Linked DNA regions of Nothobranchius furzeri. Each later gene encodes a partner of the first gene's protein in a complex. Links are inferred from orthologs where the notes say so. Each region holds a gene or a part of one and is shown in the gene's direction. Other genes may lie near its edges.

Region 1 (3,021 bases):
ATACACAGAAAAATTCTCTTCATGTCATTTTCAGCTACGTGAAAAGGCAGGGAAGTTGCTGAGTAATGTTCCAACACTGTAGATTCCTGGGTCATTTGTTTATGAGACCACTAACTAACCAAGGGCTGGATGTTTTGCTTCAATAACCTCAAGCTGTTGCTCCTTCTCTCAGAGGAGTTTTCTCGTATGAAGGAGGAGGTCCCCGCGGCGCTTGTGGAGGCTCACGTGCGGCGGGTGGAAGAAGCGGCGCGAGTCAGCGGCCGACAAGATCCTCTGTATGGGCTGGAGGGTAGTGGCATCGCAGGCACCGGCCTGGAGGAGGGAGAAAGACCCGGTAGGATGGACAGATGGACACAACTAGGGAAAGAGCGCTTCAACGATACAGGAAGAATTTACATTTCTGACTTGTCTTCTCTTCAGATGAAAGCAGCGATGAAAGTAAGAGTGACAGCCAATCAAGTGAGGAGAAGAGAGATGCTAAGGTAGGATGCTTGTTCAAAACAAACTAAATGAAAGCTGTGTCTCTTATTTATTAGTTGTTAACTGTTTTTTTTATTTATTAAGGTGAGTAAAGATACAGCAGTAGAGGAAGAAGAGAAACAGGTGGAAAATGGAAAGAAGGAAGAAGAAAGGGGAAGAGAAGCCGAAGGAGAGAGGGAGGCGGACAAAGCCGAGTCTGAGATGGGTATGAGAGGACCTGGCCATAGACAGACGTGTCAGGAAAAATATAATAAAACCATGTTTTCTTCTCTCAGGTGATGGAGAAAAGGAGAAGGATGCAAAAGAGGGAACAGAGGAGGGGCAGAGAGAGGGAGAGATAGAAGGAGAAAGGAAGGCGAAGGTTGAGCGTGATGTGGGAGAGGGAAACCTGGCAACTGCTGCCGCCTCTGCTTTAGCTGCTGCTGCTGTCAAAGCCAAGGTGAAGTTCATTTTACCGCTGCTCTGTCAGTCACCGTTTGTTTGTTGGGTTTCTTTAATCCAATTCTCCTTCTCTGTGTAAACAGCATCTGGCTGCAGTGGAGGAGAGAAAGATCAAATCTCTGGTGGCTCTGCTGGTGGAGACACAAATGAAGAAGCTTGAGATTAAACTGCGACACTTTGAAGAACTGGAAACCATCATGGACAGAGAGAGGGAGGCTGTAAGTGATGGAATTTGGGAATTATTGGACATAAATGACCTGTTTTATTCCCAGAACAACGGATGTGCAGTAGCACTAATTCATCTGAGACGTGTTTGTTTTGCTTCCAGCTTGAGTACCAGCGGCAGCAGCTGCTGGCCGACCGGCAGTCCTTTCACATGGAGCAGCTGAAATACGCTGAGATGAGAGCTCGCCAGCAGCACTTCCAGCAGATTCAGCACCAGCAGCACAGTCAGACCGGCGGTCCTCATTCCAACCAGGCCTCCTCAGGCCCTCAGCTCCAAGCTCCGACTGCAGGGCAACAAGCTCCCAGCACACCAGCATCACAGGCGGCTCCTAGCCCTGCACCACCAAGCTCTTCTGCCCCGGCTCCTGAAGCCCAACCTCCTGCAGGGACTCATACCCCATCGCCCTGCCCCCCGAGCCAGGCCTCAGCTCCCGTCCCAGCTCCAGCCCCTCACTCCAGCTCCAGCACTACACCTGTACTCCATGGTGAGTTTAAACATACAGCAGGTATTTAATTAGCATTTATGTCAGAAAACAATGGTGAACAATTTGAACAGGAAAATAACACAGAACTAAATCAAGAACAACAAACACCGCTCAGCAAAAACAGGTTCTGCAGGCAAATTACTAAACAAAAGGGCATTCCCTCATAATCCACTCAATCATGTGCCACCCACCATTCCCATTTCTCCCAAGCTGCCACAAAAATTTTTAACCTGCAAGTTCTGCACGTGTTTAATTCCCTTTATTATCCTCCTCCCACTGTCTCTGGTCAGGAGCATTCACCCCAAACTGTTTTTGTGACAGGTTTTTCCCAGCAGAAAGCAGGATTTTAATCAAGTATCTGTTTGGTGTCCGGCAACACAGCAAAAACTAAACACTAGACACGGTCTGATTTCACACACAAACATTCTCCAGTCAGACAGGAAATCTTACAAGATCTTTGGAGTAAACAGACATGGCGATGATTGATTTTACCCTTTATTGCACGTGTCAATAATTTTCAGGCAGGAAAAGTAGTTTTAAATCTAGAAGTTCTCGTGTTACCGGGAGTCCCGATACATTTCGTTATACGTATTATAGCGCTAAGGATTAACTACTGCCTGGTACTTGAGAGTACTTCTTCAGACATTTTCTCCTGCTTTATCCACAGAGCCCAGCACCCCTCTCCAAGGAGAAACTCTCCACCCCTCAGCTCCTGCTCCTCCTCCACAGTGAGAATACTTTTTAAGAAAAAACCTGAAAATCCAAATGACTGACCATTCCAAATCCTGCCTGTATCATCTGAAATGAAGTATTCAGCTCCCGGACATAAAAAAAAAAAAAAAACAGTTTTCATGTTCAGTATTTTTTTTCCAACAGGAAATTTAATGTGTGACAGAAAAATAAGATACACGAGTCAACTCCCTCTCCTGACTGTTCAAACTAAGTCGACTCTTGAGGAAAATAGATTTTTCATCCCTCGTGGTTGACTGGACATCAACTGTCAAGTCAGAATCATAAACTCACCCCAGGAGATCTGGTCAGCATGGATTATCAACATGCCAGCACCCAAGAAAGACAAAAGAGTCATCTTGTGTTTTGAACGTTGTTGCTTTTGTTTTCCTGTTACACTCTTTCATGGCTCGTGAAGTCTCCAGCTTCACATCTTTGTGTTTTAGGTACGTATAAAAACATACATGTATGTATTAAAACATACATGCACGTATTAAAACATACACGTATGTTAGGAAGAAAGAAAAGCACTTTTGAAATGTTTCCCAAGGTCTCGCTAAAAAACTTGAAGCATCCATCAAATTGGATTTTAGCACTTACACCTTCCTTTTGTTGTCTGGAATACCCGCCGGTGGTTATAGAAACTTAATCAGACACGTTT
Region 2 (3,757 bases), on another chromosome or scaffold:
CTCTATGAACTGGTGCAGCAGACAGGATTTTCCTGTCCCAGCATTCCCAATTACCAGGAATTTAAACAGGAAATCTACAAGGGGAACAATACAATCATTTAATAGACATAAGCTCAGCTTGACCCTCTTAATGTGGCATTCATAGGCACTAGCTCATCTTAATCCTAATCTTATTTGAATCAAGATTATTTTATAACTGAGATATAAACCAGCTGATATATATTACACATGAATACCTGATGGTTTGTTTATAAAGGCAGGGACACCTGCTTACTAACCACAGGTTTGTTCATTGTGTTTATGGTGTAAACAACTCATTTTGTATGCTGCAATAATATTTTACTGTGAGATTTAGAATGATCCAAATGTAAAATATACACATAAAGAGAGCATTAAATGGTTATTTATTTAAAAAGTTGAACAGTTCAGCCTCAAATTTATGCCAGCCCTGTCCTCCTCTTTACCCCTACCTGGTATCTAGCGGTTCTTCTGATTAGAATCCCAAAAGCTCCGTTACATTCAGTGTGAAAAGCTACATCAAACCCAGATGTATGATCTGAGTTGACTGACAGCTCTGCTTTAAGGCCAGAAGCCTTGAGTGGTGAAACGGTTAGCCTGTCGGCTATCTTTTTGCGATGAGAAAACGCCTTCTGGGCACACCTGCCTCGTCTTTACCACTGACTACCAGAAGGCACCCGTTAACTGTTGCCTCGGTTTAAAGCAGACTCCTTACCGTAAGACTCCGACATCGCCAATGTGGCGGTTTGATTCCAAAAGCAAAATGAAGGGAGGAATAAAAGTTGACAGATGCACAGCTAGCTCAGTAAAGGAATACACCAGTGATAATTTCCGTGCATTCCAGCTGATTTTTCCTTCCGACTTCCCGTAGGTTCTTCCTTTCAAAGTAAAAGTCCTTCCATGACCGACACTGTGATGCACTATATAGTTTTCGCCTCACTATGGAGCTGTTATTAAGTCTCCAGAAACGTTAAAATCATGATTTATTATAGATGTAAAAAATAATCACAAATAAGAAACATCCACATTGTAATAATTAGTGACCAGATATATTACTTATTATTGTTGTCAACTTGAAGGATTATACGTGCAAGTATTGACCAGTAGGCGGCAGTAGTGGTCACTGTGATTGGCTGACTGCAGCTAGACAACTATTTTAAAAATTGTTCTGCTGTGATAACCTTGCGTTAAAGGACCAAAACCGATTTCACATGATTTTAATACATGATCGGAATATTTGGTATTTAAAAGTAAAACGTTTTTCACCTCTATCACCGATCCAGGCCAGGAGAGTTCGCTTTCTAAACCGAAGGCTTTACCATAGAAGAAGAAACGCAGACTCAAGCTAGTGAACTAGCCTAGCTGCGGAACATTATTTTGTCGAAATATGGCTACTGTGCTCCCCATTAGACCACCTTGCGATAGTAATCCTGCCACCCCAGGAGCGCAATCTTTAAAGGTGACATTCACACTCCTTAAACTGCTTCATGCTTCAGCCTGTGTCCACGAATGACCCCGTTAGCCGTATTAGCGTCCATTCTTTGTTTTCATGTGTGCTCAGTTTATTCAATTTACCTTTCAGTTGTTGAAAAGTCGCCTGTGTAATTTGACTCGTATAAAAACGAAACGTAACCTCAAAATGCATTATTTGCTAATTTCTCTATTTTAAGTTCTACTTTTATTTTATATCTAATGAAACTTATACTTGTTTTTCCTAAAATAACACGTTTTGTACACGTGAGTTGTTTACAGGTAATGAATTATTATATCACTCATAAATCATGTTTTGCAGTGGCTCATTTAAAATAAAAAATGTATGAAGTAACCCTGAACTGGCAAACAACACACGAGTCTTTTAATCCTACCTTGTCAGGGAAATGGTCTTGTCTAATATGTACAGTAGTTTCTATAAACTTTCATTTTTTAGAAGTGATGCTCAAGCCAGAGGGTTTGAACCCTATTATTCTAGAGGTTAATGCCTCTAAAGTTGATGATGCAGCTGTATTGCATTTCAGGTTTTGGTTGCCCTCCATTCATTTTCACTGATTTGGGTACAGAGGAAACACTCAAGTCTTTTGTAAACAACTACTTTCATGGTCCTTTGTCAGGTTTTTCCAGGATAGATTTATATTTCTTAAGCACTGTGACTTTCAGGAATAGTTTACCTGATGTATACATCTCTTGAAACCTGACAATTTTTTAAATATTTAATCACCTCTTATTCTGCTGTTACATGACTGGGCAGAAAATGTGTAAAAAGCAGCAAAAGTTGAAATAAATTAGAACTTTTGATAAAGATAAAAACATTCAGCATGTTTTTTTTTTTTATTTTAATGAAGAGCTTTTTTCCTGTTTTTAGGAGGATGTAATAGAGGAAGTGTCCAATGATGGCAGCCAACCTAAGAGAAGGAGAATGGGTTCGGGGGACAGCTCTCGAAGTTGCGATACCTTCAATCAAGAGCTTGGGTAAGAGGGTGCTTTAATCTAGTTTTTACCGTCATGTTTTACACAATATTGTTAAATTTAAAACACACTTTACTTGTCAAACTTTCCCAGGTGTTGTACTCTAGAATGTGCAATTTTATTCCTAAAGTGGATTTTTTTTTTTGTTCAGGCCAACATATTTCCCAGCAGAAAACCTGACGGAGTACAAGTGGCCTGCTGATGAAACAGGAGAATATTACATGCTGCAGGAGCAGGTCAGCGAGTATCTGGGAGTGACGTCATTCAAGAGGAAGTATCCTGGTGAGGCTGAGAGGATCCTTGTGTTCAAGCTGGAATTCTGTTCCTTTTTTCAAAATGATTTTGTATGAATGCATTTGTTCAAGTAAAACTTCAAAATAATATTTGTGATAAGCTGTTGTAGAGGAGCTATTGTGCTTTTTGATTATATAAACAAGGGGCAAAGTGGCTCAGACTCCATGTTAGATCTATTTTTATGAAGCTGCACTCATTTTTTTTTATTATGATTTAGTTTATTTCTTATCTATGATTTTTTTAGACATGGAAAGGAGAGACTTGTCCCACAAGGAGAAGCTCTATCTTCGTGAGCAGAATGTCATCACGGAGACACAATGCACTCTGGGTAAGGAATAATATCTCTTAACTTTACATGCACACTTAGTCTCACTTCATTTTTTTATCCTGCTGCATTCATGTCTGCAGGCCTCACAGCTCTGCGGAGTGATGAAGTGATCGATCTAATGATAAAAGAGTATCCCACCAAACACTCAGAGTATTCAGTCATTCTGCAGGAAAGGGAGCGACAGAGAATAGCTAAAGAGTACTCTGTAAGTGAGGAATAAACAGGATGTCTGGTATGGTTGCTTTGATAAATATTTTTTAAAATGGTCTTAATTCTTGTATTGTTTTCTGTCATGTTTTAGCAAATGCAGCAGCAGAACCCTCAGAAGGTGGAGGCAAGTAAAGTTCCTGAGTACATAAAGGAGGCAGCGAAAAAAGCTGCAGAGTTCAACAGTAACTTCAACAGGGAGCGAATGGAGGAGCGGAGAGCGTACTTTGACCTCCAGACTCATGTAAAATACAACATCAAACATTCAACAATGACACAGCGCTAACCAGCTGTGTTTTAAGATTTATGTCTTATTTTGATCCTAGATTATTCAGGTGCCACAAGGCAGATTCAAGGTGTTGGCTCCGGAGCTGACCAGAACAGGACCTTATCCTGTTGCTCTCATTCCAGGACAGTTCCAAGATTATTACAAAAGGTACATTTCAT
Region 3 (3,657 bases), on another chromosome or scaffold:
TGTTGTCTTCAATATTATACGGCTGCGAGGTAATGCAGCTTCTCATTTGCAAGAATTTCCAAAAATGACCCTTTCCCACTAAGTTAAACTCTTGCACCAGGTTATCATGTGGCAGAAACACCCCTTCTTTAAACAAATCACCAATAGTATTTAATCCTTTCACTTACCACTCTTCCCAGTAAACAGGTTTCTTCCCTATGCAGATCCTGGGATTATACCATAATGAGGAATATTTCTGCTGACTATGTTTGAGGTTTAACAGTCTATGGACTCTGCCAAAGCTGGTTTTTGTCCAGTTTGGCATTCTTTACATATCTGAGAGGAAAAATCCCCGAGAGGGGGTTTGATGGTCAGAGATATAGTAAACACAGAAGCAGGATATTTAGGATTTACCGACTCGAGCAGGGATCATTCTTCTGTTTTCAAAAGTTTGAGAAATTTTTCTGCATGTCTTTTTTTTTTCATTTCAAGTCACACGTTTTACTCAGTTTTATTAAATAAATTAATGTCAATATGAGTCACATGTTTCCTGTGGCTCTAATATGAGAATCTGGAACCTATTATGATTATTCTGTCTTTTAGGGTTAATCTTAATTATTATTTTGTGTTGCTGCTCTTTTTAAAACTTTTTTAGATCACATAAATGGCTTCAGGATATATATATATATATATATATATATATATATATATATATATATATATATATATATACACATAATTCTGATGTTATTTTCTACAAAATAAAGAATTAGAAAATCTCATCCAGGCTAAACATTTCAGATACACTCAATATTAATCAGTTTTGTGCTAAATAATAGCAACGGTGGTTTGCCGTACTCAAAACAAAATAAATATGTACCGGTAAATGAAATGAATAAATAAAGACCTCCATAAATGTTCAGTGGAACCGTTATGTTTCATGTTGGGTTCAGGTTTCGTCCTGCTCTGCTGCCTGACTATATCTGTGTCCCTCCTCTGTTTCTGCAGGCTCGGTGACCAGTTTTATAAAGAGGCCATTGAACACTGTCGCAGCTACAATGCTCGCCTCTGTGCTGAGCGCAGCGTGCGAATGCCCTTCTTGGACTCCCAAACTGGCGTGGCTCAGAACAACTGCTACATCTGGATGGAGAAACGTCACCGTCGGCCAGGTGAGACACACCTGGGAGAGCTTGTGGGGTGGTGGTGGGCGAGTGGTACAACACTATTTTCCCTCCAGTTAATAAATAAATGTTTAGTTCTACACTTTTTAAAATTTAAAAACACACAAAAACTCCACTCTCAAAACAATAATAGCATTATTCAATATTATCGGCTGATATTGGAATTAAAATATAACACATGAAATTATCGGGATGAGATTTTAAGAACCAGCTTCTGCTTTTTGCAGATGATGTGGTCCTTTTGGCTTCATCTGAAAGTGATCTCCAGCTTTCGCATCAGCTCCTCTAAAACCGAGACCATGGTCTTGAGTCAGAAATGGGTAGAATGCCTTCTCCGGGTCAGGGATGAGGTCCTGCCCCGAGAGCTGAGCCGGAAGGCAAAGCTCTCGATTAACTGGCCGATCTACATTCCTACCCTGATGTATGGTCACGAGATTTGGGTAGTGTCCAAAATGATGAGATCGCGGATCCAAGCGGACAAAATGGGTTTTCTCCGCAGGGTGCCTGGGCTCTTCCTTAGAGATAGGGTGAGAAGCTCGGTCATCTGGGAGGGGCTCGGAGTAGACCAGCTGCTCCTCTATGTTGAGAGGAGCCGGTTGAGGTGGCTCAGGCATCTGATTAGGACGCCTCCTTGGTGAAGTTTTTTGGGCACTTCTAATTGGGAGGAGATCGAAAGGAAAACCCAGGACACGCCGAAGGGACTATGTCTCACGGCCGGCCAGGGAATGCCCTAAAAGGTACAAAAAGTCCCTAAAGAAGTGTTGATCACCAGTTCAAAAGCTTGTTCGGGTTCATCTGAAACAAAATCTAAAGAAATGAGGGATGACTTTAACACTTGTAAATATGCATCCATTTCTTCAATAAGATCAGACTCTGATGTCTCAGAAATGGTTTTTCTTTGATTTATCGAGCAGTCGAGACTTTTTACGCACGTGCGGTTCATCTGAGAAGCCAAAGGGAACAATCATGCTTTTTTCTGAGACCTGAACAGAAATAGCCCGCTCTCCATCTCCATGCAAAGTCCTTCAGGCCACACCCTATACTTTGTGGCAGACCTAACACACATGATATGCATTTATTCTGGGCTTATTCCTCCCCCAACTTCTCCTGAGATTTTTATTTGATGCTCTACTCATGTGGACATAAAAGCTCTTCTCCTTTGCTTCTGTCTCCTAGATTATGGTTAAATGCGTAGGTAGTTCATTATTTATGAGCAGGGAGATAATTATGCTTTGCCAGAGCATTCTACGATTTTAACGTGTTTGATGAAATATTTTTTACTTACAAACAACAATGCCAAAAAAGAAAAAAAAAACTAAAATTAAATCTTTGTTTCTTTAACCAAACAAGTAATTTATCTGAAATAAAATAGCACCATGTTTAACAGGAATGCCCCCAAACCTATTATTCCCATCTAAGGAAATTAATTTGAAGGCTGAGAATTATTTATTTATTTATTTTAAACAGTCTTGGATTATTTAGGAGACCAAATATCACACATTATATGCTAACATAAGTCCTGCAATTTGTCAGGACCAACCAAACAGGCTAACGTCCAGCCAATCACGTATTGTGACGTAAACGGCAGCTCCCTCAGCTGATCTGAGAGCCTGAGTACATCTGATACCCCTGCATTAATTCCATGTAGATTTTGGTGTTATGCAAAAATGCTAAATGTGTGAAAATTAAAAAAACTTTGCTTAAAAAATCTTTGAGTCAACTATTATGAAATTTTGAGCAGTTTGATCTTTGCTTTGCTCTGGCTAGCCAATTGTTCATCAGTCAATTTGGATATACACTTTGTTTCTCCATACTGATGTTCAGGAAAAGTGAGATAGTAGCAATGTCTTTAAGTACAAGGCCTGTCCGTGGACCAGTGTACGTGCATGCGTGGGTTTGTGTGTGTGTGTGTGTGTGTGTGTGTACAAAACTCAATGGAGGGTTTGTTACCCTTGCCAGTAGGTTTTGAAATTCTTCCAGTGTGCCCATGTCTCTCCTCGCGCTCGTGTGTGTGTGTGTGTGTGTGTGTGTGTGAAATCTTATAATCCTGTTGCATACGTGTGTTTTTTCAGGCCAGGCTGCAGGACAGATGTATACGTACCCTGCTCGTTGCTGGAGAAAGAAGAGGCGACTCCACCCTCCCCTGGATCCCCAGCTCCGCCTGTGTGAGCTTCGTCTAGGTAAGACAAGACAAACAACATACAGGCACATTGCTGCACCGAACACACACACACACACACACACACACACACACACACACACACACACACACACACACACACACACACACACACACACACACACACACACACACACACACACACACACACACACACACAAAAAGATGGTTTTGACACACCGTTGCACAAATAAAACCACTTTAACTCATGCATTGTTTCACCTTTGCAAACTAATGTCAATTTAATAGAAATGTTCATCATTTCTCTCAGGATTGGGCCATCTGGCTCTGGTTATCCCATCTCTCACACCAGGTCTC

Evidence for each region.
Region 2: smarcc2 (region 1) and phf10 share a complex: the UniProt entries of both Homo sapiens proteins name them as parts of the neural progenitors-specific chromatin remodeling complex. The link is inferred for Nothobranchius furzeri from reciprocal best matches to the Homo sapiens genes SMARCC2 and PHF10.
Region 3: smarcc2 (region 1) and dpf3 share a complex: the UniProt entries of both Homo sapiens proteins name them as parts of the BAF complex. The link is inferred for Nothobranchius furzeri from reciprocal best matches to the Homo sapiens genes SMARCC2 and DPF3.

Annotation. Positions count from the first base shown.
Region 1 is NC_091743.1:50,353,230-50,356,250, forward strand, and holds the end of smarcc2 (SWI/SNF complex subunit SMARCC2), read left to right. Parts: intron 1-172; coding exon 173-334; intron 335-420; coding exon 421-482; intron 483-564; coding exon 565-685; intron 686-755; coding exon 756-919; intron 920-1,004; coding exon 1,005-1,139; intron 1,140-1,249; coding exon 1,250-1,631; intron 1,632-2,298; coding exon 2,299-2,363; 3' UTR 2,364-2,450; downstream 2,451-3,021. UniProt on the Homo sapiens protein: Involved in transcriptional activation and repression of select genes by chromatin remodeling (alteration of DNA-nucleosome topology).
Region 2 is NC_091749.1:34,751,285-34,755,041, reverse strand, and holds the start of phf10 (PHD finger protein 10), read left to right. Parts: upstream 1-1,195; 5' UTR 1,196-1,405; coding exon 1,406-1,477; intron 1,478-2,377; coding exon 2,378-2,484; intron 2,485-2,632; coding exon 2,633-2,763; intron 2,764-3,019; coding exon 3,020-3,103; intron 3,104-3,183; coding exon 3,184-3,308; intron 3,309-3,404; coding exon 3,405-3,554; intron 3,555-3,636; coding exon 3,637-3,746; intron 3,747-3,757. Other genes in the region: rab4a (ras-related protein Rab-4A), read right to left, coding at 1-74, 734-749. UniProt on the Homo sapiens protein: Involved in transcription activity regulation by chromatin remodeling. Belongs to the neural progenitors-specific chromatin remodeling complex (npBAF complex) and is required for the proliferation of neural progenitors.
Region 3 is NC_091742.1:25,621,663-25,625,319, forward strand, and holds part of dpf3 (zinc finger protein DPF3), read left to right. Parts: intron 1-987; coding exon 988-1,148; intron 1,149-3,232; coding exon 3,233-3,340; intron 3,341-3,657. UniProt on the Homo sapiens protein: Belongs to the neuron-specific chromatin remodeling complex (nBAF complex).